7 separate regions of the Mus musculus genome follow, and all the other regions are reported to be linked to region 7. The links are microRNA targets in miRTarBase. Many come from high-throughput screens and were not tested one by one. Region 7 holds a microRNA gene; each other region holds the end of a gene's coding sequence. Distances are between the middles of the regions.
Evidence for each region. The annotated mature microRNA mmu-miR-804 reads UGUGAGUUGUUCCUCACCUGGA and lies in region 7 at 2,546-2,567, shown strand. An mRNA with a match to its seed (bases 2 to 7 or 8) in the 3' UTR can be bound and repressed. Matches are read on the target gene's strand: a 7mer-m8 pairs with bases 2 to 8, a 7mer-A1 pairs with bases 2 to 7 and ends in A, and an 8mer does both.

Region 1: the mRNA of Arhgap19 is a reported target of mmu-miR-804. Seed matches in the 3' UTR shown: 7mer-m8 at 3,638-3,644.
Region 2: the mRNA of Knop1 is a reported target of mmu-miR-804. Seed matches in the 3' UTR shown: 7mer-A1 at 3,512-3,518 and 7mer-m8 at 4,363-4,369.
Region 3: miRTarBase lists Mcm5 as a target of mmu-miR-804. Seed matches in the 3' UTR shown: 7mer-m8 at 2,652-2,658.
Region 4: miRTarBase lists Gdpgp1 as a target of mmu-miR-804. Seed matches in the 3' UTR shown: 7mer-A1 at 2,971-2,977, 7mer-m8 at 2,806-2,812 and 7mer-m8 at 1,920-1,926.
Region 5: miRTarBase lists Ooep as a target of mmu-miR-804. Seed matches in the 3' UTR shown: 7mer-m8 at 597-603.
Region 6: the mRNA of Cdr2l is a reported target of mmu-miR-804. Seed matches in the 3' UTR shown: 7mer-m8 at 2,645-2,651.

What each region holds. Positions count from the first base shown.
Region 1 is chr19:41,766,806-41,771,457 of GRCm38, reverse strand. Arhgap19 (Rho GTPase activating protein 19) reads left to right here. Exons shown (of 12, transcript NM_027667.3): 12 at 1,262-4,652. The coding sequence ends at 1,272. Among named protein-coding and RNA genes, the nearest start is that of Gm19424, 22 kb to the right of the region's middle.
Region 2 is chr7:118,842,164-118,846,815 of GRCm38, reverse strand. Knop1 (lysine rich nucleolar protein 1) reads left to right here. Exons shown (of 5, transcript NM_023197.3): 5 at 722-4,599. The coding sequence ends at 1,033. Among named protein-coding and RNA genes, the nearest start is that of Iqck, 11 kb to the left of the region's middle.
Region 3 is chr8:75,126,358-75,131,009 of GRCm38, reverse strand. It overlaps Mcm5 (minichromosome maintenance complex component 5), which reads right to left. Exons shown (of 17, transcript NM_008566.3): 16 at 4,646-4,652; 17 at 2,571-3,787. The coding sequence ends at 3,686. Among named protein-coding and RNA genes, the nearest start is that of Mcm5, 19 kb to the right of the region's middle.
Region 4 is chr7:80,238,044-80,242,695 of GRCm38, reverse strand. It overlaps Gdpgp1 (GDP-D-glucose phosphorylase 1), which reads right to left. Exons shown (of 2, transcript NM_178752.3): 2 at 1,276-4,482. The coding sequence starts at 4,473. The coding sequence ends at 3,313. Among named protein-coding and RNA genes, the nearest start is that of Ttll13, 6.0 kb to the left of the region's middle.
Region 5 is chr9:78,374,803-78,377,802 of GRCm38, reverse strand. Ooep (oocyte expressed protein) reads left to right here. Exons shown (of 3, transcript NM_026480.3): 3 at 112-900. The coding sequence ends at 248. Among named protein-coding and RNA genes, the nearest start is that of Ooep, 2.3 kb to the left of the region's middle. RefSeq lists an enhancer at 2,393-3,000 and cis regulatory regions at 1,324-3,000, 1,324-3,000.
Region 6 is chr11:115,392,734-115,397,385 of GRCm38, forward strand. Cdr2l (cerebellar degeneration-related protein 2-like) reads left to right here. Exons shown (of 5, transcript NM_001080929.1): 4 at 1-90; 5 at 613-3,399. The coding sequence ends at 1,504. Among named protein-coding and RNA genes, the nearest start is that of Gm32013, 6.2 kb to the right of the region's middle.
Region 7 is chr11:50,355,714-50,360,365 of GRCm38, reverse strand. Mir804 (microRNA 804) reads left to right here and starts at 2,487; the gene lies at 2,487-2,581. Cby3 (chibby family member 3) reads right to left here and starts at 2,605. Exons shown (of 2, transcript NM_029691.1): 1 at 2,563-2,605; 2 at 664-1,326. The coding sequence starts at 1,112. The coding sequence ends at 690.

The DNA of each region.
Region 1 (4,652 bases), not on the chromosome of region 7:
TGCAGTGTCCCTGTCACCATCAACAGCCATGATGCAGTCTTCTGCTTAGCACAGGGCTTCTTGGAGTTCTCTGTGTGGAGCTGTCCTGTGCATTCATTGTATGGTGTCTAGCAGCTGTGACCCAGCAGATGCCACTAGCATCCTTCCCTCAGTTGTAACAACTGAGAGTTCCTCCAGATGTACCAGCATCCCTTGAGGATTCAGGGGCAAACTCACCCCAGATGGGAACACATTGATGGAGCACCCCTTCATCAAGGGGCATTATTTTCAGCAATCAAATCTTCCTAATTCTTTTTTCTTTCTTTTTTGTTTTTTTTTTTGTTTGTTTGTTTGTTTTTTTGTTTTTTGTTTTTTGAGACAGGGTTTCTCTGTGTAGCTCTGGCTGTCCTGGAACTCACTCTGTAGACCAGGTTGGCCTCGAACTCAGAAATCCACCTGCCTCTGCCTCCTGAGTGCTGGGATTAAAGGCGTGCACCACCACGCCCAGCTTTCCTAATTCTTTAAAGTCTAGGTGAACCTCTCCTCTCTGAAGCCTTGTCTGGCTAACCCAGCCAGCCAGAATAAGTTTCTGTTGAACTCGTGTCAACAGAAACAATCTAGGGGACAATCACATCAGTGGTGCAGTGCTTGCCTACCACATGCAGTGCCCTGGGTTCAGTTCCTAGTGCCGCCAACACACAGCTTTGCACACCCACCCATCCGCCAACACACACCCTTGCACATCACCCACCTACAACCCTTTTGCTTTCTCTTGTCTCAGTAGTGTCAGCAGCTTGCTGTTTTTGGTTTTAGTAAAGGGTAGTGCTGCTAATAGCAGGACCTCCGTACTCATTAGACGTGGGTCAGTTCTCTATTGTAGTGTGTGTGTGTGTGTGTGTGTGTGTGTGTGTGTGTGTGCAGTAGCTGATGGGGCAGGTGAGTTTCTGTGGGCTGCAGATTCCACATCTGTGAAACGACAGCGTACTACCCCTGCGGTGGGAAGCTGTGAGGACAAATGAGAAAATGGACACAAGGGCCTGGGGCAATAGCCATCACCACACACGCCCTACTAAGTGGTGACTGTTACAGTCAGTAAGAAGACATAACAAACTGGGTTAGACAAGCGGCGCAGACAATGTTTACTTGGTAGAGTCACACTCTCAAATTATTTCATCGTAAATTTGGAGAGAACACTAAGTGTAGATTTTGTGGCTTTTGGTGGGTATTAAAAAAAAGAAAGTTTTAAAGCATGTCTAATTGTCTTGTTTCTCTTTTAACCTAGGATTCTTTTGAAGGCTCTCTTTATTACTTCTGTCCTCTACAGTGAAGTTTCTCTTCAGTGGGACAAGTGTTATTTCTCTTCTCAGTGAAGCTTGGACCTGCAGCTGCTTGCTGCATTTTGACTTGTGAAAGCCAACTCATACCCTGACCCGACTGATACCTCTAACCCCCTCACTGGATGTCTCTGAAGCTGTGCGTCTGTGGAAGTGCTGTGCTCCGTGTTTGTTTTTAATGTCAGAAGCCACTAGTGCCTGCCCCAGCTTACACAGTGCAGCAGGTAGGCAGGGCCAGCCACACCTACTCAGTGTGCTTAGGTCGGTTGGTTTCTTCAAACAGGATATTTTGTGTTAATTGTTAGTAATATTTTTAAAAGTACTGTAGGTCTTAGTGGAGTATTATTATTTCCAACTGGTATTTGAGGCTTTCCTCTGTGTCAGTAACTGCTTGTTTTAGAAGCCATTATTTTGATAATTAAGCGAATTACAAGTTAAATGCTTTTGACCCCTTTTTATTTTAAGCTTGAGTAATCTCTTTATCTTTGTGTTCAAAGAACTTACAGCTTTCCTAGACAATCTATTATTTCTTGTGTCTAATATAGAGGACTTGACCTGGCAATGAGAAAGAGGTCAGTACAGTGTATTTAACACATCTCAGTTATTAAGCTGCACCCCATACCCCTGTCTTCCCCTTATGATGTGAGATGGCTGTGTGGTTGTTACCTTGGTGATGTGAGATGGCTGTGTGGTTGTTACCTTGGTGATGTGAGATGGCTGTGTGGTTGTTACCTTGGTGATGTGAGATGGCTGTGTGTTTGTTACCTTGGTGATGTGAGATGGCTGTGTGGTTGTTACCTTGGTGATGTGAGATGGCTGTGTGGTTGTTACCTTTGTGATGTGAGATGGCTGTGTGGTTGTTACCTTGCTTCTTTCATTATCATCCTCTCACCTAGAACATGGCTGGTGCCACTGATACACTCTGTGCCTGGTTACTGTCACTTTGGAAATGTCATGATCTGCTACTTAGAGGAGCTTGCTGCAGTGTGCATGTGGTGAAAACAGAAGCAGGCCGAGGGGCTGGTTGGCTTGGGTAGGATGCTGTCACTCATTCCTAGGGATCAAATGTGCTGCTCACCTGTCTCCTGAGAGCAGGTTGGCATCAGGAAAGGCACGAGTGGCAGTCTCTGCAGGGTCCCCAGAGGGAGCAGTTGTTATGTGTCCCCGTAGTCTAGAACAGTTGCTTCCTGCCCATCTCCTTGTCTGGATGGGTACAGGAAGTGGTGGAGCGTGGAGAGCCACTGTCTCCTGAGCCGCAGGTGGCAGTTGCGGATGCTGAGGTATGGGCCTGGCTCTGTGGAACTAACTGTGAAACCATGCTCACCCTACTGTGGGGAACCAGATACCCAGCAAAATACGGTTCCACACTGATGATAGACAGTTGAACTTGTGTTATTGTTGAGATGAAGGCTGATGTTGTCTATCTGTCGGCCCTCTCTTCCATCCTACACTGTTTCATTGCTGTAACAGCAGTGCTGAAGGAAATGTGATGTTTTCCCTTCTAGCTGGATAGTTTGGGAGCATGGAGGTGTGTGATCTATAGTGGATTTTAAGTTCCATTCTCTAAAGCAGTTTTAGGTCATCCTTAAGGATCTTTATTAGCAAATTCATTTGTCTAGGTTTCTGACTCTTTCTGGTGATGTTGTTACTAAGAAAAAGGTTCTTTTCTTTTTGAAATATATTTCTTATGCCAGGTATATAGTGAGGTCAAACAGAAACCTCCTTTGTGTTAGCAAATCAGAGATGTTCTCCTCAGCATGGAGCCTGCTTTCAGTGTACCCCACCATGCTGGAATGTAGCACTATGCAGGGATGCAAGCCAAGCAGTGCCTTGATGCAGCCAGGAGTTACACACTCTGTGAGCAAGAAAGAGAGAGCGCGGGACTGAGGAGCCTAGTGTGGGTAGAGGGAAGCGATGCCCAGGGATGGTCTGGGTGAGAGAGAGGTGCCCCATGCGCTTGCTCTCTGTGGCTGGCCTCTTGGGCAGTGAGTTACCACGTGCATTTGGGAATGTGGATTTCATTTATTTATTGGATAGTCATTACTTGCTGTAAGGGTATTTTAGGTCATTTTTTCTTGTAGAAGCTGTGATCCAGTGCAGAATAGACTTGAGGAAAAGCATAACCTTTTGAGTCTTGTAACATGTGGCTTTGTAACCTGTGGTATCTTCTTGGAAACGCAGACAGAAGCTCCATCGTCGTCACAGAAGGTTGCTGCCGTCCTTCTGACAAGGCGTACAGTTGCTGTTTTGAGCCAGTATTTAACTAATGTTTTTAACTAATGTTTGTTTGAGACAGGGTTTCTCTGTGGTCCTGGCTGTCCTGGAACTCACTCTGTAGACCAGGCTGGCCTCGAACTCAGAGTTTTCCTGCCTCTGCCTCCCCAGGGCTGGGATTAAAGGCGTGAGTGTAGTCACTGCCTAGCTGACCTGTGTCTTAAGGGTTTTTATTATATTTATTTTCCATGTTGGCGTAGTCTTTGTGACAGAACCTTTCTTTTCTTTCTGGGTTAATCGTCATAGGCTTTGATGTTGTGTCAAAGTGTCATCTGGTGGTTATTGTTGCCAACTATGAAGAGACAGATCCTATCTGATCTGTATCTGCACTAGGTAAATGAATAGAGGCTGTGGGCCCTTTCTCTGACGTTCCACAGAAGTGGATTTTCTCACTGAGACCAGTGATCAGGTTTGAACCCGCCCCCGCCCTGTCCCCCCATTCCCCATGTCACATGCACTGTGTAGGGCACAGGTGGGAGACAGTATTGGTTAGAACCAAGTGCTGGAACATTCTAGAAGCACAGCTGATGGGGCCTGAGGGAACCCACAGTGGTCCCTCCACACAGCATGTGCTATACTCTGAAGGTCCTCCCAGAGTCAGTCAGGAGTGATGAGGAAACACCCTGGGGGATGAGGCAGCACAGGATGCTGACTGGCAGGTTGTGTGCTGAGGTCTCTTTTCTGTGACATCCTTTCCTCTGGAGACAGCATCATCCCTGCTCTCCTACACTCTAAAGTCTTCAGACTGAAGTGAGGGTCCAGATCTAAACCAGCAGGACTGTCCCAGAGTTTGCAGAGAATCTGGCTTCCTAAGATGAAGGTTTTGAGTGACCTTAGTCCTGGTAGCCTGATGTCAGACTCCCTGTCAAAAAGCTGGCTTTACTAGGCAGCCAGTGCTGAAAGCTGTGTGGAGGTAGGGCAGTGAGGAGATGGAGGATAAATAATAACCTGAGTGCTTTGTCACCATGGAAACTGGAGTTCCTGAGGCCACAGCCCATGCTGAAGAGCTTTTGAGCATGCCCCTGACATGCTTGGTCCAGAGGCTATAGAGAAGGAGTGCTCTCA
Region 2 (4,652 bases), not on the chromosome of region 7:
AGGGAGCCAATGTCAGACCAAAGCAATGATACCACCAAAGCCTGATAAACAGCTTAATTGAGGTTGCAGGATCCTGTATGGGTTACTTAGAAGAGCGTGATAGCTGAAAGGCAGCTGCATTACCAAGTCTACCCTAGCATGAAGGACATCTCATGAAGGCTAGAGCACTGGAGCATTCTATATGACTTGCAGGCAGTTCAATAGACATGCAGTCCTTACTGCTTATGTAGCCTTGAGGAGGGAGGGGCCTTATGAACCTGCCAAGTTTCAGGATTGCCTAAGACTTAGTGAGTTGTTTACTTCCTCGGTCTTAATAAGCTCCCCTCTCAGAATGAACTGCTTAAAGTCAGAGGATCAGTATACAACACAGGCTATATAGGAGGATCGCTGGAAGCTCGTGGCCAGCCAAGCACATGCAGCAGAAAAATCAATAGAGATCTTGAAGTGTTCTTGCTATCACCATGTGTTGGGAGAAGGTAGAGCACAGATTAGCTTGGTGTGCAGTGATATTTGTTAGAAGCCAATGATGGGCTCTCAGGCTGGTCATTCCCGAGTTGGGAATCATCTGAATATTATCACCCCCATTAAGCTCTAGGCCTCATTTCCTCACCTGTAATGTGGGAATGAGTAGCCATATTGAATGAGACAGTTCATTGCGTGGCTGAGAGTGAGGGAAGCTTTGGTCTTCAAGGGCAATGACAGCCTTTTACTTTCCACACAGGGAACCCAGTTTGGCCAGTGGGATACTGCCGGCTTTGAAAATGAAGAACAGAAGCTAAAATTCCTGAAGCTTATGGGTGGCTTTAAGCATCTGTCCCCGTCATTCAGCCGCCCTCCCAGCATGACTATCAGGTCCAACATGGCCCTGGACAAAAAGTCTTCAGAAATGCTCCAGCAGAGTCTGCAGCAGGACTATGACCGGGCCATGAGCTGGAAGTACAGCCACGGGGCTGGCCTGGGCTTTAACTCTGAGGCCCGAAAGGTCTTCTACATTGACCGGAATGCCTCCAAGTCTATCAAGTTGCAAGATTAAATATTATTGTCTTGTTCTTCAAACTGCATTTCTTGATCAGTTGCATCCGTCAAGTTGGCTTGAAATAGTCACCTGCAGTTATTGAGGACCAATAGGAATTGCTAAAGCCTCCTATTTTCTATGTTAAACATTCCACCTCCGGGTGACAGTATTTTAATAGTAGCTAGCAGTTGTTGGCACGTGGAGGGTCCTGACTATTTTCCTTGCATTGTTACACTAATTATGGAATGGGTGCTGTTCTCATCTCTATCAAGTTCAGGGATAAATAAAGTAATTAAACGGCCTAGGGTCACCTTCCGTTAAGTGCCATCAAGAGTACATCACCCAGAGTCACTCAATTATCAGTGCAGAAAGCAAGTGATATGCCATGACTTGCAAGTTTGTTTTCCTTCTCCCTTATCAGGAGGCAGGTGTGGTGCAGCAGGCAGACGTGGCCAGTACCTCTGAGCTGGCTTCTTTCCAGCCGTCCTCCTTCCATCTGACTGCTGTGCTTGGATTTGATGCTGCTGTATTGGCTGGATCTCAAGGCATTTTGGACAGTAGGTAATCCTGCGTATGGACCCATGACAGATTCTCAGCAGCATGTTTTGTGTTTGTGTTCACTAGACAGAAGACCTTGGACACTTGTGTGATGAAATCAAACATATAAGGGGTGGAGAAAAAGATACTTTGCTGCAGGCACCATACCCTCCCACCCCTCCCTCCCAAATCACAGCAATCTTCATGGAGCTCCTGATACAGAGACCCATGTGACATGATTTTCTCTCCCACCAGCTATTGGCAGTCTGGTATCAAGGTTCAGAGAAGGTTACTTTCCTGTTTTGGCCTGATTTCTCACAGGCAGAAACACTGGGTGGGGATGGAGGTGTTTGATGCTGCACTCAGCCAGGACATTCATTCATCCTTCCAGCACCGTCATCAGTGTTGATGCCTTCATGCTGCTAAGAAGATGAGAGACAATTCCCAGCATTCCAGAGATGGGAGAAAACCCTCTCTACAACTAAAGAAACTTCCGGCAGTCCCTCAGGGAACCTGTGATGGCGTCATTCAGCTTTGTAGTTTTTCCTGTATCAGCCCCCTTGGTAAGGAGATGCCCCTCAGGCCAGCCAGGGAGAGGGTGAGGTGTGCAGTACTGCCAAATGGGCAGCAGAGGTGTTGCTGTGCCCCCTACCTTGTTCCTGTCCTGTGGGCATAGGCCATATGTATGGCAAAGACCTGTTTACACCACTTTCCTGGAATGAACTTGGCTTCTCATCAATTCAGCCTCAAGATTCAGAAAAGACCACTTCCAGTCACGTCAATGGCAGAATTCTGCATTTGAGTCAACTTCCAGACAAATCTCCCTCGGCCTTGGTGAACTCTGGGAACCATCTGCATAACTCCAATAGCTTGTGTTCCCCACAAGTCACATTCCAGCCTAAGTGTCTCAGCTCATCAAAAACTTGCACATGGCAATCTTACGGGTGGTAGATGGTTTTCTATCTTATGTCACATATGCCTTGGAAGCTGTCATCAAAGTGTGAGAGCCAGATCTTTTTCTTAGCTGTTACACATACCTCAGTGCTGAAAGACTTGATTTTGTAGCTTGGTACCTCAGCGTTGACTTAGGTGCTCCACTAGCCCACCTTTCTCTAAGAATTGAAGTCTGTAGTCTATCTCCAAGGCACTGGAGGTAGGGTCAGTGATCTAACACAACCTTGAACTTGACTGATTCTCTCAGGCATTTCTTACCAGCTTGGTGGCACTTAAGCAATATCCTTGTCCAACAGTCACCAAAATCTCATGATTCTTAACACTTGTGCTTGAGCTGATTTCTGTGCTATATCTGCTTGGGCCCATGAGGCCCTGCCCTGAGGCTACATGTACAACCAGACTAACCTGTGAAAAGGCTCTCTCAGACACAGGTGTCCCTGCTCTTAGTACTACTTGGGTTATGGTAGGCAGGACACACACATACCCAGCAGAAGGGAAATTAAAGTCACTAATCACATGCTGCTATTATTATTGTTGTTGTTGTTTTTTTGAGACAGGGTTTCTTTGTGTAGCCCTGAAGACCATACCATGCTAGCCTTAAAAGTCACAGCGATTCACCTGTCTGCCTCCTGGAGTGCTAGGATTAAAGGTATACATCACTGCTGCCTGGCTTCCAGCCACCACTGGCTATCAGATAGATTTGAAATCAGATCCTTGATAACCTGAGCAGGTTCTTTTCTTCACAGTTCCCTAACTGATACGTAGCAGAAGATTTAGTGTGGAAGACACTTGGGAAGGAAAAGGCCACAAGCCAAGATCACAGGCAACGTACAGAAGCCATGCAGCATCTCTTTCCACCAGAGTACCCACAAAAGAACTTAGACATGGGGATACCTTGACCTAGCCCAGAGAAACCAGTGAGTTCTGACCAACAGCAGTCAAGACAGTAAAACCACAGGAAGTCACTGTGCTTGTAATTTCTTAAAGGAATAAGAACCAGGAATCACTCACAGATGGACATGAGGCATCCTGTTTTTCATTTCCTAAAAGTCTCTTTACATGTCCTTCTCAGGGGAAGTAGATGCTGTTTGTGGAGGCGGGCTTCAAAGACTGGACTGTCAGTAACACTTCTGCCCAGGTCAGCAGACTGTTGCAGGAGCCCCGTGGTATGTGTACCCAGTGTGAGGATAAGCCGAGGTTAACACAAGCAGTGGGAATTCCCCAGGCCAGTGTAAGCTGCTTATGCTGTTATCCTGGGCAGCCTTGAGGCAGGAGAGTAACGTACAAAGGATTATTTATGAATTTGCCAGTTATTTTTGAAAGAATTAGCATCACAGTGAAAGTGACATAAAATAATTTTAGTAGAAACAGTTTGGTGAAATAAAGGCCATTTGGGAGTATTTGAACAGCACCATAGTGCATTCTGGGTTCTGGCATGTTCACAGCAGGAGGAAAGGCATTTTTTAGCATCTGGTTTTTGTTTTTGAGACTGGGGCTCATATATCCCAGACCAGCTTCAAACATGTAACTGGGGACCTTGATCAGATCTTGATCCTCCTGTCTCTACCTCCTAACTACTGCCGTTCTAGGTCTGCACCTTGGCACTCTGTCTTATGTGGGGTCTTGTGTCTGCCAGGCAAGCATTCCACTGACTGAGCCATATCCTTCGCCTCATCTGCTCATTTTTGGTTTGGTTTTTGTTTTAAGAAATTGTATCAATTCCTTGGGCTGGAGGGTATTCTCATCAGATTGGCCCCAAATGTATATACAACAGTAACCCTGCTCTTTGTTGTTGTTGTTTTGTTTTGTTTGTTTTTTCGAGACAGGGTTTCTCTGTGTAGCCCTGACTGTCCTGGAACTCACTCTGTAGACCAACCTGACCTTGAACTCAGAAATCCACCTGCCTCTGCCTCTGCCTCCCAAGTGCTGGGATTAAAGGCGTGCACCGCCACCACCTGGCTGTAACTCTGCTCTTAAACTAGTAAAGACACAAGCTGTGTGTGTATGTGTGTGTGAGACTTAATAACTTCTACTTTCTGAGGTTAGTCATGTATAGTATTTCAGATAAATAAAATCCATGCCTAAAGCACAAATATAGTCTTTTGAATGTGTGTGTTTTGCCCTGACTAGTTTTGAGCAACCCTGC
Region 3 (4,652 bases), not on the chromosome of region 7:
AACCTCAGCCTGAACTTTGAGAAAGGGGAAACAATGGAAAGGACCCTAAACTGCCTATCTATTGCTTGGAACTTAGTTTCCTAATAATTCCAAAATTTGCTGTCAAGGCAGCTCAGTCCCTAGAAGAGCCTGCCTCATCCTTAAATCGGTGCTCACATCTTTTTCTCCCCCCCCCCCCCCGCTTTTCTTTTTATTCAAGACAGGGTTTCTGTGAGCTCTCATCCTGGAACTTGCTCTATAGATCAGGCTAGACTTAAACCTAAGAGATCCACCTGCCTGCCTCCCTAGAGCTGGTGTTTAAGGCGTGCACCACCAAACCCAGCACCCCTATTTCTTAATAGGAAATTAAGGCTGGGATAGGTACAGTAAGTAGCTGAGTTACAATCTGAACCCAGGCCAGTTGGGTTTGGGCCCATGTACTTACACCAGAACTTTACCTTACCGCCTCATCTTTCAAGTAGAAGAAAAAACCCTCACTGATTTAACTGAAAACTACCCTTTGAACCATACCATGTTCCTGTGGTGCCAGGATTGAAAACCTGGCCTCACACATGCCAGGAAAGCAGTCAACCACTGAGCTGCAACCCTTGGCTCATAAATACCAACCTACCAGTGTTCATGTTTAAGCACACGGATCTGTATGCCTCAGCAGGTAAAGGTGCTTGTCACACACATCGGATGACCTGAGTTTTCCCAAGAGCCCATGTAAACATGCAAGGAGAGAACAGACTCTATGCAGTTGCCTCCTAAGCTCCACCCATGTGGCATGCTATTTAAGACCAACACATACACACCCACGCACAATATGAAAGATTTACATCTAAAACCATAACATACTTAATAGAAGTGAAAAACTTACATCTAAAACCACAAAGTTACCCTGTGAAGTGTGCATCTTCTGCCACTTCCACCTCAACAGTCTGAGAAAACTCATCTTTTGCATTTCTGAAATTCCTTGTTTTTGTTGTTTCTTTGGGATGGGGTAGATGGCTCCGCATCTAAAAGCACTGGCTTCTCTTCCTGGGGACCCAGGTTCAATTCTCAGCACCCATAGAGTTCACAAACACCTGCAAATCAAAGATCTAACACCTTCATACAGACATACATGCAGGCAAAACACCAAGATGCATAAGATAAAAATAAAAAATAGTTTAAAAATAAGAGAATTGGGCTGGGCGGTGGTGGCGCATGCCTTTAATCCCAGCACTCGGGAGGCAGAGGCAGGGAGATTTCTGAGTTCGAGGCCAGCCTGGTCTACAGAGTGAGTTCCAGGACAGCCGGGGCTATACGAAAACCCTGTCTCGAAACACACACACACACACACACACACACACACACACACCCGCAAAAAAAGAGAATTGGCCTTATTCTGGTACTTGTAAATGTTCCTCTAAAATAGTATTTTCACTAACACATTTTTATGTAGATTGTTTTTGAAACAGGACCAATCTCTTATAGCCCAGGTTGTAGCCTTGAACACTTTGAAACTGAGGACAACCTTGAACTCCTGATCCTCCTGCTTCCATCTCCTAAATATGGGAGTTACAGGGATGCTAACTTCCATGTCTGGCCTGTAATCTTCACTGTACGTATGACTTCTATGGTGGCTAAGGTGACAGTGTGTATGATTCCCAACAGCTTGTCATTAACAGTTGCTTAGAATTTTGCCAGAAATCCTCCACACCTCATGCATTTCAGTAGAATCCTCTCCCACGTGCAGTCTGGGTCAGACAATATGTGATGGTAGATGCAGCAGAGCTCAGGTGCTAACATAACAGGCCATTGCAGCCCATTTGGGCCCGTACCAATCCTGTCACTGCGTGACACGAATATATGTCTAAGGACAAATAATATTTAAGCTGAAAGACCAACCAGGGGATGTGAAATGTCTATCTATACCTTGGGCAAGGGACCAGACCAGGAATCACCAGGACGCCCAAGCATGCCAAGGCAAAAAAAAAAGTGAAAATCAAGTTGCTGTCTGGGGAAGCAATGAAAGCAGAGCAAGCAGCAGGGCTGAGTCCTCAGAGCACTGCTTCAAATCCTACTTATCTGAGACACTCATGGGAAGGTGAGGAAAAGAGGGGAAAGTGTGTCCTAAGACCATCTTGGCCATACTTGCAGGGCTACAGTAACTTAGCCCCAGCAGCTCAGGCCAGTGTCTCGTAGAATTAAAGGTTAGGATCCAGTTCAGATTCAGAAACCAACCAATCCTTAATTCCTGGATATTTTCCTGGGCATTTTTCCTCGTGCTGTGGCACACCGAGCACTGCCCACTTCCCTGCAAGCCAAGCTTGTCTCCCTTAACACTGTGCCTGCCAGCCAGGGCCTACCAAGAAAGAGGTATCATATCGGCATCTTCCACTCAACTAAGCACTCCTGCAGGCCCGCATGTCCATGCATCCTCAAGGCCTCAAGTAGGATGAAATGTTCTTACCAAGCCTGCCCTTCCAGACAAGCACACTCTGTTCCAAGTTTGCAGACCAATCAAAAAGAAATGGCTATGGCCATTCGTCAGGAGCAAGCACATTTCCAGGAGGGAGTAAGAAGCAAACACTTCAGCCAGGCGTGGTGGCCCACACTTTTAATCCCAGTACTCAGAAGGCAGAGGCAGGCGGATTTCTGAGTTCGAGGCCAGCCTGGTCTACAAAGTGAGTTCCAGGCAGCCAGGGCTACACAGAGAAACCCTGTCTCAAAAAACTAAAAAAAAAAAAAAAAAAAAGCAAACACCTCAAGCAACAGCCATTTCAGCACAGGACGCCATCTACGAGAAAGGCCTGTGTATGTACTTCCTGTTCTCTCAAGCCTTCCTCCTACAGTAACTTTACTGTTGGTGACTGCAGTGTTTTCAGCACTAGCTTCCCATTTATAAATGTACTTTACATAACAAATACTTAAATATTTCACTGACTTTTCCTTAATTTTATAAATTATAGATTTCTAAAATCATAATTTTCGGCATTTTGGTAATACGAGGTGTTGGGTGTCTTCTTTTAACAATGTTGTCACTAATACCTCCTACTGTGCTGAAGCTTGCTCAGGTACTCATAGCTCCTTAACTGATAAACCCTGACGTCTGGTTCCTTCCCCAGACACCACTGAGGCCCACTTGCTATAAATAAAGCCCTGGAGACATTCTACATTGGAGTCTACTTGGGTTTTCACTGACAGCCACTCACTCACTGAGCTCAGCTTCATCAAATTTGTTTGCAGATTAGGAAACTGAGGCAGACAACTCAATGAATGATCCAGTTCTCACATTAGGTGCTGCTGAAGAAAGCTGAAAGAGTCAACCTTGTATTCACACAGCACTACTATCATACTGGGTCCACTGACCTTAGCAGCCAGGGACTCAATTGCTTTATTACCTCTGTACATACAAAGAAGCTTGGCAGTGAGTGGCCCGGGAGCCAATATACAGACCCATCTACATTCCAGGGCCTGTTCCTGCTCCAGACTCATCTTGTTGAGAAGGCATGACAGGGGATAGACACCCAGAGCAGAGAGTCCTCAGACACTCAAACACAGTATGAGGCCAACAGACCAAAGTACATTTCCAGGGGCTGCAGATGTGCTGCAGACTGCAGTCTGAGGTGGAGAGGCAGGGCAAAAGGAGGTTTGGAGCACTGACTGGGAGATAGGGTGGTGGCAGCATTTCAGGCTTGAGGGTTGATGGGCAATGGGCTCACTTGAGGCGATAGAGCACCTTGCGCTGCATACGGTGTTGGATCTCACCCCTGCGTAGCATGAGCTGCAGCACCTTTCGGATAGCGTGCTCTGGATATTTCTGTAGGAGGGAGCACAAGACAGATGCACAGGTATATCATTATGACCCAAGGGACCTGATGCATCACCGGATCATAGACAATTTTAAACAGACAAAAAATATCCACCTCCATTCTCCCTTGACTTCAGAAAAGTGTGTATGTGATGATGCCTCTTGTGTACTAGGTAAGTACATATATCGACTTTATGCACCTAGTATTAGGAATAATCTCATTTTACAGAGGAAGAAATAGGCACAGGCTGTCACTTGTTTGGGTCATATAGCAATTAAGTGAGCTAGGACTTAAGTCCCTGTGACCCTAGAAGTCAAGCTTTCTCCAGCCCCAGCCTCAGGCAAGACTAGTCTCTTCACTTATAGAGGGCCAGTATCTGTTACTGTATAATTTACTTCCAGGAGCAAACGGAGAGGATACACAGGGAAGGGAACGAGAAACAGAAACCAGGGCTATCCTCATGATTTTAAAGGGCACAGGCTCCTACTGGTACCCCAAACAGTACCTCCTGTGCATGTTATCAGTAGCCCTCTTCCCAATGGGCTGCAAGGCTAACTCATCTGTTTCTGGTCCTCCCTACCATGTAAGGATCTAAACAAGGGAAAACCTAAGAGATGGGAAAATTGGGTATTGGTTTCTACAGACCTGTCTTCCTCCTTTCCCTATAAATAGCCAACCCCAACTGTAGACTGTAGCAGTTCCTACAAAAGGAACAGTGGCTCAAACATCCCCATCCCAGCACCCCTCTGCTGAGCACAGAACACTGTATGTGATGGCTGAGTGGGAACCAGACTAAGAGAACCAGCAGGACATCCTCTGTATCCTGGGCCTGGCTTGTAGACCCAGGGTTAGAAAGGCTCACTCACCTGTTTG
Region 4 (4,652 bases), not on the chromosome of region 7:
GATGATGACCAAAGGCAAACAAAGCCCTGGGTCTGACCTCCATCACCCCATAAGACAGGTACAGACTCCTGTGTTAGACTCCTGTGACCCTAGCATATGGAGGTGGCATGAAATTCAGAAGTTGAAGGTCAACTTGAGCTCCATCGTGAGTTCTAGGAGTGAATGAGAATTCCTGGGGGGGGGGGGCAAAGTTGAGTGTTTTGGCACTCAGAGGGAGAGGAAGGCAGACATCTGTGAGTCTGAGGCTACCCTGGTTTACAAAGAAAATTCCAGAACAGCCAGGGATATGTAAACAAATCCTCTCTCACAAAAACCAACCAATCCACCAAACAAAAAAATAAGTAGATCTCATAAACAGTAACCATGTCTTTAAGACGTTCCCTGTCTCTGTCGGAACGTTGGTTGGCTTGGCTTGATCTTGTGCAAGTATGGTAGTCAGGGCTCTCTAAAGGAACACAGCTGTAGAGGCTGTCTCACACTGGAAAGGCCAAGAATCCAGCAGCCGTTCAGTCTACAAGGCTGGATGTCTCTATCTGGCCTGAAGGATTCTTAGAGAGCTGCAGTTCTTCAGTCTCGGTTGGAATCTCAAAGACGTGGGTCATAATATTTGTGGGTGTTTTTGTTTTTTTGTTTTGAGAAGGGGATATTTCTCTGCGTAGCTCTGGCTGGCCTGGGACTCACCATGCAAACAGGTTGGCTTCAAACTTTCATAGAGTTCCGACTGCCTATGCCTCCTGAGTGATGGATTAAAGACGATATGCCACCTAGCCTGGCTTGGTTTTGGTTTGGTTTGTAAACAGAGTCTGCTCAAGTAGCCCTGGATAGCCTCCAAGTCACAGATACCTCCTTCCTGAGCCTGGCTCAGCCAATCAATCTTAACTGATGAGCCATCTCCCCATCCGTTTGTTTGTCTTTTTTAAAGGGGGTAAGGCTTGTGACTAAAGCTGGCCTTGATTTTGTAGCAGTCTTCCATCCCAGCCTCCCAAATGCTAGGATATCTGTAATCAACAATGAGACTTTTTAAAACTTCCAGGATTTACAGAGACTTGGTTGTGGAAAGATCCCTGAGGGCCACCAACTGTTAAAGGCAGCATCACCACGGTAGGAAAGGCTGACTGGAGAGACTCCAGTATACACTGTACCAGGTCTGGCATCTCATTGCGTGTGCTGCAACCTCCACTCTGCCGTTAGCTGCCTGACCTAAGCAAGTGACTGGGTCAACAACCATTTCTTCCTCTGTTGAATGGAAGCAATAAAAGGACCAACACTTCTTTAAGAATATTAGCCAGCTGTGGTAGCCCATGCCTTTAATCTTAGCATGTAGGAGCCAGAGGCAGTTGGATCTCTGTGGGTTGGAGGCCAGTCAAAGCTACATAGTGAGACCTTGTCTCTCATAACAAGCAGAACACTTGCTACATTTCCTTGGTGCATGTGCGGGAAGTGACAGACCCATTTGCAGGAGTTGGTTCTCCTTGAACTGAGTGGATCCTAGGGATTAAACGCCTGTCACTGTGTTGAGGGCACACAGTGTTGATACCTCCTGAGCTATCTCTGTGGTCTATGACCAGCATTTTTAAAAGAATTTTTGAGGTAGTCTCAGTATATAGCCCAGACTGGCTTTGAACTCACTAGTCAACTGTTATTGGGGGCTTGAAGAAAGGATAGTTTGGTTTTTTTAAAATTTTTTTTAGAGAAGTTGACCACCTGGATGAAGCAGTTGCAAATACAAGGGGGGAGGGCAAAGTCAGCCAATGAACCAGCCATAGGCAAAGCTGGAGTCCCAGAGATTCAGGAAACTAAAACAGGGTTCTTTGATTTGAGGAGTTTGATGGTAGCTTGGGCTACAGAGCTTAGTGGCTCACATTCAGGAGGCAGAGACAGGCTGAATCTCTGAGTTCAAGATCAGTTTGGTGTACAGGGTGAGTTTCAGGACAGCCAGGGCTACACAGTGAGACCCTGTAAGAGTCAGTGGCGCACCAAGGGACAAGAGCAAAGGTAAGACAAGGTAGCTGGATGTATCTGTAAGCCATCAGAGCAGAGGCTGATGGTTCACACCAAAGGCGAAGTCCAGAGAGCAACCTGTGTAGCAAGACATCTAGTAGAAGCACTCTAGGGTCGCCATCAGAATGGTTGTTTGCTAGAAGTGTTTTGACCTTGAAGAAATCATTAAGAAAAGAGTGACTGTTTTCTACTATCTATAGAACTGTTTTTCTGAAGGAGTTTTACAACCTTTGCAAAGTCCTGGTCACTGGACAGTCCTGGCACACTGGGAATGTGCACTGTTGGGTACTGCAAACAGTATACAATAAGAACTGAAGCTGTGGGCAGTGATGTCTTCCTTCAGGAAACACATAAGACTAGATTCGGTGTGAGGAATTTTTTTTAACCAAAAAACCCACAACTTTTGTGTAACAATCAATATATGCTTTTGGGTGGCCATTTGATATTGAGTCCACAGAGCCTGGATCTCCCTGTAAGGCCATATTTCACCCTGGAGTGACCCTCTTTCTTAGATTGACCTACAAGTCTCAGAACACTGACAAACCAGGACTGTGAAATTCTCCCACTCTCCATTTTAAAATTTGTTTTTTTTTCTTAGCAGGGTGGTGGTGGTGCAGGCCTTTAATCCCAGCACTCAGGAGGCAGAGGCAGGCGGACCTGGTCTACAGAGTTCTAGTACAGGCAGAGAAATCCTGTCTTGAAAAACAAAAGAAGCCAGGCAGTGGTGGCGCACGCCTTTAATCCCAGCACTCGGGAGGCAGAGGCAGGCAGATTCCTGAGTTCGAGGTCAGCCTGGTCTACAGAGTGAGTTCCAGGACAGCCAGGACTACACAGAGAAACCCTGTCTCGAAAAACAAACAAAAAAGGAAAACAACAACAAAAAAACTATTTTTATATTTACTTTTTAAAAAATTTTGTTTTGAGATATATTTACGTGTGTGTGTGTGTGTGTGTGTGTGTGTGTGTGTGTGTGAGTGAATGTATCATGGTGCACATTTTAAAGTCAGAAGACAGCCTTTACCCTATGGGTTCTGGAGGTTGAACCCTGATCAACAGACTTAGCAGCAAGCACTCCTCCCCCTGAAATGGTCAGATCTGGCCCTTCATGGCAGGGCTTGTTACCCTGGGGCTTCTCAGGGAAGAGGCAGCAGAAACATTCATGAGAACACATTCTCTCAGTGCTCTCTCTGCAGTCCTTATGTGGGGAGGTGGGAAGAAGGTCATGACATGAAATGCACAAATGGACTGAATTCACATTGGCCTTTGGGAAAGGGCCTCGAATTAGTCAGCAAAGAAAACACTCCTGAAGAATCACAGCTCTTCCTGAGCCATCAGGGCTACCAGCGCTGCCCGTACCTCACCTGCCTGAGTTTCAGGCAGCAGACAATCCTGAATGAGGGCCACTGCAGCTGCCTCTGTCAAGCTGCTGAAGTCCTGTGATGTTTTGACAGGGAGGTGGCCAGCCAGCTCACAGAGGGCAACATTAAACGCCCCACTTTCCTTTATTCCAAAGCTGGACTTCCGGGCCCACAGAATGACTCGGATCCCACTGAGATCTGAGGTAGATGATGTCGGCCCGGGGGGAGCTCCCCGGGTCACAAATAAGTTATGTGCAATCTCACGGTCACTCAGGTAGTCAGTAGCTCGGCATACCCTGCTAATTAACACTTCCAAATCCGGCCCTGGCCCACTGGTGTAAAAGAGAAAGCCAGGAGCCGGCAGGGCCTGCAGCAGATGTATACAACCTTTGGGGTCTAGGGGTGTGCTTGGCGCTCCCTCCACAGGCAGTGGGTGGGCCAGGTAGTAGCAATGCAGGTGAAGATGGTTCACAGAGGCCAGGCCTCCCAGGCTGTTGAAGCCGACCCTGAAGCCTGGGTGCAAGCTCAGTAGGACAGCTTCTAGCCCCACCCGCAGCACTCCAGGCAGCAGCCGTTGGGGAAGCCCCTGAGCAGGTGCAGGCACCAGCAGCACATGACCCCACTCCAGGGGGCTGACATTGATCACCACAAGGACGTCGTCCTCTTGCTTTGGAGTGGCTGGGCCTTTAGGTTCCCTTTGCATCCGGAAAAGGACTTCTCCAGGTCGAATTTTATTGAAGTTAAACTGTTCCGGGTCAAACTCCTGCCTCACACTTCTGATATTCTGGGGGCGCCTCCTCTGTATCCCTCGCTCTATATTCAGCTGAGCTACAAACCCCACGGAACCGGGGAGGATTTGGGTCTGCAGATCTTCTAGGCGGTACCGAAACAGGCCCAGTTCCAGCCGCTGCCTCCACGCAGAGCGGAGGGCAGAGTCGAAACGGGATAGTGGTACTGTGTCCACGGCACTAGGTGAATCCCTGGGCCACTGAACTTCCTTGCCAACGAGATCCTCCTGGCCATAGACAAAGTCCGGGATGCCTTGTTTCTCCCAATCCTCTGGATCTGGAGGCAGCAGATAGGAAGTCTCCTGCAAATGATGTGGCACAGCCATGAAGGCTACCTGAAACAAGAATGAAAAACCCATAAATAGATGAGACCAGCTCATTTCCAAAGATTATTTTTGAATGAATTTTTTTTGGGGGGGCATGGTTTATCGAGACAGGGTTTCTCTGAGTAGCCCTGGCTGATCCTGGAACTCACTCTGTAGACTAGGCTGGCCTCGAACTCAGA
Region 5 (3,000 bases), not on the chromosome of region 7:
CCCCCCTGCTCAGCCATAGGCACCAGTCTTCCCAGATTCCAGGTCCAGAAGCCCTTCTCTTTAAAACTCTGCGCCCCTCCCGCCTGACTGTTGGTGTTGATCCTTTTCCAGCTGTGAAGGTGAAAGAAGTTGAAGAGTTCTTGAAAATTCGTGCCTCCTCAATCCTAAGCAAGTTAAGTAAGAAAGGGCTAAAACTGGCTGGCTTTCCGCTTCCGCTGGAGGGAAGAGAAACACAGATGGAGTCTTAAATCACTACACGTATTTTCTTACCCGCCTTCACGAGCACCTCCTGTTTATTTTTCTTTGCAAATAGCAATTTGTAGAACTATTCCAATATAAAAAATTTTTTTTGGTATGCTGTTGGTTTGATCACATACAGTAAAATTTATAAACACTTGAGTATTCAGTTGATGGTTCGGGGAGTATGTAGGTTGTATTCCTACGGTTTCTAACAACACTTCAGTCTGGCCCTCAAGAATGGCACAGTTGACTTAAAAGTGGGCCCTAACTCCTGTGTCAAGCAAGTTTTTTTTTTTTGTTTGTTTTGTTTTGTTTTTTCGAGACAGGGTTTCTCTGTGCAGCCCTGGCTGCCCGTGAACTCACTTTGTAGACCAGACTGGCCTCGAACTCAGAAATCCGCCTGCCTCTGCCTCCCGAGTGCTGGGATTAAAGACATGCACCACCATGCCTGGCCCAAGCAAATTATTTTAAGTTACCCAGTAGTTTGGGAAAAGGGCATCATTAAAATGTCAGCTCTTGATCCCTTTGTCCTTCCTTATTGAGACAGAATATCTATGTCGCCCCGACCGTCCTGGAGTCTCCTATTTAGACCAGGCTGGCCTTGAACTCCGATCTACCTGCTTCTGCCTCCCAAGTTCTGTGATAAAGGTGTGCTCCACCATTTCTGGCTACCCTTTTGTACTTTTTAACCTACTCCAGTTAAGGCAGTAGTCTCAACCTGGGATCAGAATATAATCCTGTATATCAGATATTTACATTACAATTCAGAAGAGTGGTCGAGTTATGAAGTAGCAAAGAAATGTACGATTGGAAATCAACACAACGCGAAATGTATTAAAGGGCCTAAGCATTAGAAAGATTGGGAACCATTGATTTATAGTGTGCAAGAATTCACTTGGGAGCTGGGCAGTGGTGGTGCAATGCCTTTGATCCCAGCACCTGAGGCAGAGGCAGGTGGATCTCTTGAATTTAAGGCCAGCCAGAATTCTGGAGAATCCTTGTACCAGGAATGGGGTTGGACAGGAGAATTCACTTTGGAAGGGCCTCAAAACAATGTCCTGGGCCCCTTCTCCAGTGATTCCCCGTGAGAGGATACATTAATTTGCAGCTCTAACATGCTCAGGATGCTGAAACATGACTTTGGGGCAATCATTTCTGCTCAAGGTTGCTAAGCTGTTACTATGCTTCCTGTTACCTGGGCCCCACCCCAGGAACTCCGGTTTTCTCACAGAAATTTGTCATACTTTTTTTTTTCTGGTGTGAACTTGATTTAAAAAAAGTCAATACCGTTTAAGCAGATTGATCATCATTAGCAGATTTATGAATAGGTTCATGCATAAAACTTAAAACTTTTTAGTAACTTCTGGACAAAATTCTATGTTTCTACCAGAATTTGTATTTATTAGCCTATACTTGAGCCCCCAAACTCAGGACCACAGGCTATGAGTAGCATATTTTCAGATAAAGCTTTGCTGTTTTTATTTATGTGTAAGGGTGGTTTTGCCTGTATCTATCTGTATGTCTGTATGTGCACCACGTGTGTGTCTGGTGCCTGCAGAGGCCAGAAGAGAGCATCAGATCCCTCCGCAACTATTGTTAGCTTCCATGTGGGTGTTGGGAATCAAACTTGGGTCCTTGGAAGAGCAACCCGATGCTCTTAATCACCAGGCCATGATTCCACTTCACAGATAGAACCGGCCTCTTTTTTTCCTTCCTCCCCCCCCCTCTCTCTGACAAAGGCTGTTTTTGGTTTTTGTCGCTCTCTTCAGAGACCCCAGACGAGGGAGGGCATCAGATCCCATTAACAGATGGTTGTGAACCACTCTGTGGTTGCTGGGAATTGAACTCGTGACCTCAGCTCTTAACCTCTGAGCCATCTCTCCAGCCCCAGAGCCTTTCAAAAGGGGCTAGAGTGGTGGCTCAGCAGATACAAGCACAAGTCTCAGAGGAAAAAGGGATGCAATGAATATAAAATTAAGTCATTTCATCACTATACCTGTGAACATGCACTCCTAAAGAAAATGTAAACAAAGGTGTGAACCTGGGGAAGATCATGTGATGACCAGAGTAGACCCAGACACTAAAGCAGTGACAATTCCATTTTGGACTTCTAACTCTAATTACAGGGACTCATTTCTGTTGTTTAAACTGTCTGGGTTATTTTGTTGCGATAGCCCAAAGAAGTTAACACATTTAACAGATCTGTGCTGGATTCTCTTATCCATTTGCCAATATTCTGTGCATGTGCACCCATACACACACACACACACACACACACACACACACACACACACACAGACTTGCAAGGAGAGTCCAGAGGTTAACTGATGTCTGCTTCAATCTCTGTACTTTTATGTTTTTGTCTGTTTGTGGTTTTCAAGAATAGCTTTCTTTGTGTAGCCTTGATTGTCCTGGAATCCTATCTTTAAATCTGTGTGGCCAGGGAACTCACCTGCCCCTGCCTCCTGGAGTGTTGGAATTAAAGGTATGGGTCTCACTCCTTAGGGAGTGGCCTTGGATGTTGGGAACTTGCTCTGTAAACCAGGCTGGCCTCAAGCTTTGAGATCTTCCTGCCTCTGTCTCCTAATCCTGAGAGTAAAGGAGGGGCCACCACACCATGCTCCATTGTAGTTTTTTGAGTCGGGGTCTTTTGCTGAACCTAGACCTCACCTATTAGGCTAATTAGTCCAGCTGGTAAGCACCAAGACGCCTCTATTCTCTGCTTTCTCAGCACTAGGGTTACATACAGGTGTGGCCTGG
Region 6 (4,652 bases), 65 Mb from region 7:
GGAGCAACTTCGGATTCGCCGGGAAAAACGGGAACGCAGGAGAACCATCCATACCTTCCCCTGCCTGAAGGAGCTGTGCACAAGTTCCCGGTAGGCAAGGGCCCTGGTGTGTCATCTTAGAGTCCCGAGAGAGCTGGCTGAGGGATGAAGGAGGAGATGCATGGTGGACAGTGGCTGGGAAGGAGGACCGTTTGGTCCAAGCCCTCAGGATGCTTGCTAAGGACAGCCATTGGTGTTACTAACACAAGCCATTTGCATCCATTTTCCCTACTAGTCAGATGAGAAAAACCTTCTGACCTCGGAGGAGTTAAGCACTGTATTTATACAGGCACGCGCTCAGAATGTGTGCTATGCCTAAATGGATCCCCATCCTAGTTAGGAGAAAGAGATAAAGAGCAAGGTGAGGCTGGCGATGTAGCTCAGTGAAAAACCTGCTTGTCCGACGCTTCACTGTGTCTCCCAGTGCGGAAAAATCCTGGATCAATCTGTATAGGTCATCGTACTCAGACACACTGTGGAGGGATAGTTAGAGGGGTGGAGGGTGACTGAGAGAGGCCAGTGTTTGACCACCTACTGCTGCCTGCCTCCCCCCCCTCCCCCCGCCCCCAGCAGATGTGAGGATGCCTTCCGCCTACACAGTTCCTCTTTGGAGCTGGGTCCTCGGCCGCTGGAACAGGAAAACGAACGGCTGCAGACCTTGGTTGGGGTGCTCCGTTCCCAGGTGAGCCAGGAGCGACAGCGCAAGGAACGAGCGGAACGTGAGTACACGGTGGTGCTCCAGGAGTACACGGAGCTGGAGCGACAGCTGTGTGAGATGGAGGGCTGCCGCCTGCGCGTGCAGGAGCTGGAGGCCGAGTTGCTGGAGCTGCAGCAGATGAAGCAGGCCAAGACCTACCTGCTGGCCCGGGAGGAGCACCTGGCTGAGGCTCTGCTGGCGCCCCTCACTCAGGCCCCTGAGGCCGATGACCCCCAGCCAGGCAGTGGAGATGACTCTAATGCCCAGGATGGTGTCTCCTCGCCTGCCGCTTCCCCCAGCCACGCAGTGCGCAAGAGCTGCAGTGACACGGCGCTCAATGCCATAGTGGCCAAAGACCCAGCCAGCCGCCATGCTGGCAACCTCACGTTGCATGCCAACAGTGTGCGCAGGCGCGGTATGTCTATCCTGCGGGAGGTGGATGAGCAGTACCACGCGCTGCTGGAGAAATACGAGGAGCTACTGAGCAAGTGCCGGCAGCACGGTGCCGGAGTGCGGCACGCGGGGGTGCAGACCTCACGGCCCATCTCCCGGGACAGCTCCTGGAGGGACCTACTGGGGGGCGAAGAGAGCCCGGGAGAGGGCAAGGCGGGTGAGAAGAGCCTAAGCCAGCACGTGGAGGCTGTGGATAAGCGGCTGGAGCAGAGCCAGCCGGAGTACAAGGCACTCTTCAAAGAGATCTTTGCCAGGATCCAGAAGACCAAGGCCGACATCAACGCCACCAAAGTCAAGACACACAGCAGCAAGTGACCCCTCTCTAGGCCTGTCGCCTCCCTCCGCCTCCCGACCAGAGGGGTCCCTCATGCCTGGCTGGCAGCCTCCTGGCAAGTGAGAAAGCCCTTTATGCAGCAATATATCATAGCAGGTGGCTGGGGACACTGCATATTCCCTGCTGGTGGCTCGGCTCACCTGTTCTGCCTCCCTTGGCCACTTTGCTTCAGCTCAAAGGCACAGCTCAGTTTAAAAGCCAAACACACTCCCCACCCCGCCACTGCCACTCCACCACTGTCCCTGGGGGCTTTTCAGCTCCCCCAGCCCTCAGCTTCTGGACCCCAGGCTTCACCCTCAGATTGCTGCCAGTCTTCTGCAAGCCTTTCTAGCTTTGCCCTCCAAAGTTGTTTTTGTTTTTTGGTTTTTTTTTTTTTTTTTTCTGAGAGATTTGCAATGCAAGGCCTCCTGAAGCCTTGTCACAACTGGAAACACTTGAAAGGGGACCTCAGAGCCAGCCATTGCTGGTGTCTGGAGTCTCCCAGACCACTCACTGCTTCTTGCCAGTTATGACTGTCATTCCCTTCGCACCAGCTGTACCACTCCCAGAGGTCTGAGCAGGCCACAGATAGCCCCCACCTTGCAGAGCAGGAAGTTTAGCCAGGCTCGAGTGTATCCCCTCCAGCCCTGGCAAAGGGCTTCTGCTCACCACAGATCTATAGCCAGTCTGAATAGAGGAAGAGAGAACCCCACAACAGCCATACACGGGTAGTGTCCCTTTCCTCTCAGAGCCAAGTTCCATTCCTGGAGTTATCCTCTAGGCATGAAGCCTTCCAGGGGCCGGGATGGTAGGGAGTTTCACCCCTTCCTCCCTCCCCAAGCCTGCAAACCACCTTTGCTTTCATTCCTTTCTCTGCGCCTGCCCCCATCTCAGGGACCATGATGTCTCATCCAGTCCTCTCTTCCTCAGGCCACCCAGGGACAGTTCACATCTGCAGCCTTCAGAATGTCCTGTAGGAGTGTCACCAACCCAGGTCCAAGTGTTCATGCCTGTCCTTCACCAGGGACTGTAGGACCCTTACTTGTTTTGTTTGGTTGGGCTTTGATCTGTTTTTTTGTTTTGCTTTGTTTTGTTTTGTTTTTTTGAGACAGGGATTCTCTGTGTAGCCCTGGCTGGCCTGGAACTCACTCTGTGGACCAGGCTGGTCTCCAACTCAGATCCTCCTGCCTCTGCCTCCCAAGTGCTGGGATTAAAGGTGTGATCTACCACTGCCGGGCCCTCATGTTGCGTTGTGTTCTTAAGTTGAGGAAGAACTGTCTCCTCTTCCACCTTTCTACAGAATGCCTCTTCTTTACCTCCCGCCTCTATGGGGATGACTTTTGAGGCCCCACCTGGGTCAAGGGTTCAGTATTTTAGTCTAAAACTTCAGAAAGTCAAGCATCACTTAAGACATGCCCAGGGCTCCAGCTTGCCCTCAGCAGTCCTTCAGGACTTCTGGTTCCTTCCGCCACCCTTCTCAAGATTCTAGAAATCAAAGGAGCCATACAATCCGGCAGGAGGCAGTGACTGTGGTCTCAGTGCTGGGAGCCCAGGAGGAACCGTCATGCCTTACCTCCTTCTAATGGGTAAAGGGGCTTTCTTATCAAGCATGTCTGACATCCCTGGAGAGGCTACGCTGTTCCAGGTGGCACTGGGATGCCAGTTGGCAGCTGGATCCTTCTGTTCACACGACTTGGAACCTTTTGTCCTTTGGGGCTGGGCACCTCCAGACCCTCTGTGTGTCCCTGTCATCTGGGGATGGGGAGGAATTCAGGCCTGTTCACTTCCCCAGTTCTGTAGCAGCCGATCAGCGTCACCTTTGAAGTATACATGAGAGAAATATATTTACAAATGCTTTATTCTCTTCTTTAATAAAAAGTGCACCGGTATTCTAGAAGTCCAAGTGACCCTGGGTCTATCGTTTCGCCTCCGAGTCTCACGGGCCCCCTGCCCCTTGCCATGCAGCACTGCGGATGACGGGTGTGTCCTTTGAGGTTGCTTTGTGCCCTGAAATCTCAGCGTTCTCATGACTACTCACCTATGATTAGACAGCCTGCAATCAGCCCTCAGGAAAGTCTGTGTCTATGAAGAGCCTGCTATGCCAAGCACTCTGGTCAACAAAGCACAAAGGGTCTGGATCGCCCTAGAGTTTACTTTCTGGCTTGGGGAGAGTCCCCCCAAAGCAACTACAAATAAAAGCAAGTGACCTAACAATGGGGGCAGGAAGGTGGAGCTCTATCAGACACAGCATTCATGATCAACAGTGTGGGGGGAGTGCTTGTCATTTTGAGACAGGATCTCATGGACGTTAAGTTAGACTGAAGCTTGCTATGCAGTGAGTGATGAGGGTGGCCTTGAACTTCTGACCCTCCTGCCTTTACTTCCCAAGTGCTGGGATTATAGAAATTTGCCACTACGTCCAGTTTCTCTGGTACTAGGGATTGAAGCCAGGGTTTTGTACTTGTTAGACACTGTCACTGGACCACACCCCCAGCTTCTTCCTCCCCCTCTCTCCCTCTTCCTTCTCCTCTTCTTCCTCCTCCTCCTCCTTTCTTCTTCTTCTTCTTCTTCTTCTTCTTCTTCTTCTTCTTCTTCTTCTTCTTCTTCTTCTTCTTCCTCCTCCTCCTCCTCCTCCTCCTCCTCCTCCTCCTCCTCCTCCTCCTCCTCCTCTTCTTCCTCTTCTTCTAGACATGGTTTCGGGACTGAAGAGATGGCTCAGCAGTAAAGAGTACTTTTTGTTCTTGCAGAGTACCTGGGCTCGGTTGCCAGCACCCAGATCTCAATTATCTGTACTCTAGTTTCAGGGGATCCAATGCCTTCTTCCGGTTTCTGCAGGCACCAGGCATACACATGGTACACATATATATACATGCAGGCAAAACACTCACACTCAAACAATCAAACAAATGAAAAAACCCAGACAGGGTATCACTGTGTACACCAGGCTGGCCTGGAACTCAGAGATCCACTGACCTTTGCTTCCCAAATGCTGGGATTAAAGGAGTGCACCACTGTGCCCTGACCCCACCTCTTATCTTAATCTGTGTAGATCGTAGATACAATATATGAGAAGACAGGTTTTTAAAAAGTCATAGAGCGACCCACAAAATGGCTCAACATGTAAAAATGACTCTATGTCCTCTGACTTCC
Region 7 (4,652 bases):
CAGAAAAAAATGGCAGTGGAGAAAGACAGGTGGATATTATGAGTTCCAGTCTGGTATACCTAACCCCATCTCTAAAATGAATTATAGTCCTGGAGTTTGAACATAGGGCCTTGTATAAATTAGACAAGTGCTCTAACACTGAGCTATGTCTCACTTTCCTGAGACACACTCACACACACACCATCTCACACATATATGCTATGTGTGGCCCCAATGCTTTTTTTTTTTTTTTTTTTTTTTTTAGTTTCTCTGTGTTGCTTTTGCTGGCCTGGAATTAGGTCTATAGAGGCTAGCTTCAAACTCCAGAGATCTGCCTGCCTCTGCTTCCCGAGTGCTTGGATTAAAGGCGTGCGCCACCCCTTCCTATACATTTTTTTTTTTTAATGCTGGGTCAAACAGAAGTCTTTATTCCACGTATGATAAAATCACAGTCTTCGCCAATAGAAAACAAAACAAAGAGTGTGGGAAAGCAGAACCTAAGGTTTGGAGAAAAATCCAAGCGCCCTCTCCCGCACTGCCCAAGCGTCTCACGCGCTTTAACTCCCCCTCCTACTTATCTCTGCCACACGCAGCTCCACCCAAGGAAAACCCGGATGCTCAAGGGAAGTGGACCACCCGGGCCACCAGGGCGGGGCGGGGCAAGGCGAGGCGCGTACTCGCGGCCCTGCTTTAGGTACAACTTTATTGCATCACCGCGACTCCAGAGCGCGCGGCTGGATTATAAGTACTCCCGCGCCCCTTTGCTTGGGCATCTTTCTCTTCCAGGAGCGCGCCGGGGCCGCAGGGTTGTTATCCGCGTCCACCTTCTTCTCCAGCAGTTGCATGCGCGCCGTAGTCTCTGTTAGCATGTCCATGAGCAGTTCTTGCTGCAGCTTCAGGTAGTTATTCTCTTCCAGCAGCACCTGGCTCTTAATCGGCTGCACTTGTGGCTTCCAGGCCGGGATGGTGGAGGAGGGCAGAGGCGTGCGCGCGCTTGCGCGCTTCCCCTCTGGGGTCCAGCGGCCGCCGCGGAAAACGAAGGCCTCGTCGCTCAGTCGGGTGCGCGGCTCGCCGTAGTTGAGCCCCAGTTCGGCCTGTCGCGTGCGGTGGTCCAGCAGATAGAAGGTGGACATGGATGAGATATGGCGCAGCGGTGGCCTCCGCGGCGAGAAGCGGCGCGAGAAGTGGTCGACCCAGAATTGCCTCACCTGTTTCCACAGGCGGCCCGCTTGGCTCGCCGCCAGGCACTCAAAGGCCTCCAGGGTGAAGGTGGTGTGGGCCACGCGGGGCGCGCGGGTGTCTGGAACCCTGATGTTCTGGAATGGTGAAGGCGAGCCAGTGGCACTGCTGGAAAGCAAATGGCCTGTGAGCGGCCTGCTCAGGCTAGACTCTGCAGTTGTAGGCTAGTAGGGGAGCCCATTCCTGCATAGTCACACCAGCCGTGTTCACCAAAATTACCTCCCCGGGACCCTTTATCTAGGATGTAGGTGTGTAAGAGATAATGTAGGGCTGGGCAGTGATGGCACATGCCTTTAATCCCAGCACTTGGGAGGCAGAAGCAGGTGGATTTCTGAGTTCGAGGCCAGCCTGGTCTACAAAGTGAGTTCCAGGACAGCTAGGGCTACACAGAGAAACCCTATCTCGAAAAACAAACAAAAAAAGAGATAATGTAAAGGCCCAGAAACCACGTTCTCTGAAATGCTGGAAGAGACCACAGGTAGGGGGCCACAAGTAGAGATCAGTAGCCAAGCAAGTAGGACAGGCCTTTTCTTGCTGACAGCTGTGAGGCAAAGGGCTGTCATGTTCCAGATGCATGAAAGAGCCGACAAATAGGATTGGTTCCGAGAATAGCAGAAACGTAGGCTAGAAAGGTGAGCCAGAGGGCATTTTTCGGTACAGTACAGGGAAATTGAACATTGTGGTTGTCATTCTTTAAGGGAGGCTGCTGATGGCTGCAAAGTCAGGGTTAGTGTGAACTCGGCAGAGCATCTGTCTGGTGAGATGTCTAGCACATTCTAGCACTGGCACCTGCTCCATGCCAGGTCTGGCCTGCACAGAGGATACCACAAGCACAGCCTTTGTCTATCCTCAAGATGTTCCTGGTCCAGCTGGAAAGGCGTGTATTAACATCCAGTGTAATCAATGACATCATAGGACAGACAGGTAGGTGCCTTAGCCTAGACCCATACTTAGCTTTCAAGTAACTAGAATGCTGCACACTAGAGTTAACTTTTGTTCCTAGCCAACTACTGATAGGAATCTAAAGCCCAGATAACTACCAGAACCCATCTTACTTGCTTCCTAACTCTTCTCACAACACCTATAAAGTGCTGATTCTACAGTGTGGTTTTTCAAATACCTCTCCTGCCATCGAGGGCAGGAGTGAAAACTGCTGTCGGGTTTCCTTTGCCACACCTTCATTAAACCCAACAGAATTGTGCAGGTGGGCAGAGACAGGTGTTCTCCCCCACCCCCTGATTTAACTCATGGAGCGAGTCTCTGGAAGTCCCTACACATCCATCTTTGAGGTTACAACTTCCCCAGTAGACTGTTTCCTGACATTCCTTGTGAGTTGTTCCTCACCTGGAAGATGTGGTGGCGGTGCCCAAGCTGCTGTCCCAGGCCTGGCCCCATTTCTGGGTTATGGCACCCACCTGTCTGCCAGCTGTGACTCACAATGCCTCCCTGCCAGGCCTCCTAGGGTAGAGGTGGTGTAGACAGTGAAGTGTGTTCAGTTACGGGAAGTTTCCGGAGCATTGACTGTGCTCCAGGCACTGTTCTGGGGGAGGGAAGACGTTCAATCATAAAATCGCACCCCTCATTTTGTTTAAATCTTTGTTTTGATTTAGGTCCTTTTGAGACAGGATAGCCCAGGTTACCCTGTAGCCCAGGCTAGTAAGAATCCTCCTGAGCCAGTCAGTGGCAGCAGGTGGGTTTCAAGAGTTCGAGGCCAGCCTGGTTCAAGGCTGCCAGGGCTACACAGAGAAACCCTATCTGGAAAAACAAAACAAAACAACAACAAAGGGATCTGCCTGCTTCCTGCCTTAGCCTTCCAGCCGGATTATAATCATATGTTTCTGGCTTCTATGTGGAAGGTGGGAGTATGGGTAGTGTGACCTCTGGCCAAAAGCTAACCTCCAGTATCTTCTTGATCACTCTTCACCTTACTTGTTTGTTTACTTATTATAAACATAAAGGCAGGGTATCTTTATGGAGTCCTGGCTATCCTGGAACTAGCTCTGTAGACCAGGCTGGCCTCAGACTCACAGAGATCCACTTGCTCTGCCTTAGAGTGCTGAGATCAAAAGTGCACCAACCTGCCTGGTCTTCCACCCTATTTTTTGAGTCAGAGTCTCACTGAACCTGGAGTTAGCAGAGTCAAAAGGCCAGCTGGCCAAAAAGCTGTAGGGATCTTCTACCCCCACCTTTGCCAGGGAAGTGTCTTCTTGGAGTTGTAGTGACATCAAAGGTGAGAGAGAGCTCCCAGAGATGCACTCTGTGAACAAGGTGGGAGTTGGGTACCACTCGACTTCTGGCCAGCTATGAAAGTCATGTGTTGTATTAATGAAGATAGGGCAGAGGGATCTTACTCATTCTGTCTCTCCCTTAAGTTCCAGACAGACATTGCTGTACCCTGCAGATTGTGTGTGTCAGTGTCCCGTGTCAGCACTGGGGTTAGAGATGCAGGCTGCCACACTCACTCAATCCCATGAGAACTGGGGTTCTGCACTCAGGGTCTCAGGCTTGTGCAGCAGGCCCCTCCCTCACTGAGCCATCTCAGGCCCCTTACTTGGGTTTTTGGAGACCTGATCTCACTTTGTTAGCCTAAGCTGGCTCAAATCTCCTAGGCCTAAGTGATCCTCCTCCCATCTTAGTCTCCTGAGCAGCTCCAGCCTATAGGCTGTGGCACACAGTACCTTAAGCCAACATTCTTGGCAATGGGGTGGATGGGAGGTGAGCATAAGGAATCTGGTATTGCTCTAGAACACATGTAGATTGCCCTCCAGGAATTTTAGTGCAACCTTAGTCCAGAGTGTAGCAATGGAAACTTTTGGGGGCAGATTGAGCCCAGGGCTTCCTGCATGATATTTGTATACTCTTCCAGTAACTTTTTAATTTTTTTCAAATCCTACTTTTAATGATTTTTTTAAAGATTAATTACTATACATAAGTACACTGTAACTGACTTCAGACACACCAGAAGAGAGTGTCAGATCCCATTACAGATGGTTGTGAGCCACCATGCGGTTGCTGGGAATTGAACTCAGGACCTTTGGAAGAGCAATCAGTGCTCTTACCCTCTGAGCCATCTCGCCGGCCCTTAATGGTGGTTCTTAAATGCTTTAACCTCCCTTGTAGCCCACCACCCACCAGAAGTAGTGGGAAAGAAAGGATTCGGGAGAAGTGGACTTGTTTAGAAAGGTTCTTTGGAGCCACTCCCATCTGGGTTGTCAGGAAATCAGCAGTTCAGTTCACTGGTCAGCAGCGGCAGCTCGATCCACTCACAAACACTTCACAATACACCAGCAGTCTAGTTTGGTGGAATGAGGATAGCAAACACGAATCGGGCATGACCTAGCAGAGACAGCCAGGCCTCAGCCTCTGCTTGAGTCAGCAGGAGGGACAAAGAGGAAAACCAGTTCTTGGCTATGCCTCTCTCAGGGAAGTGAAGA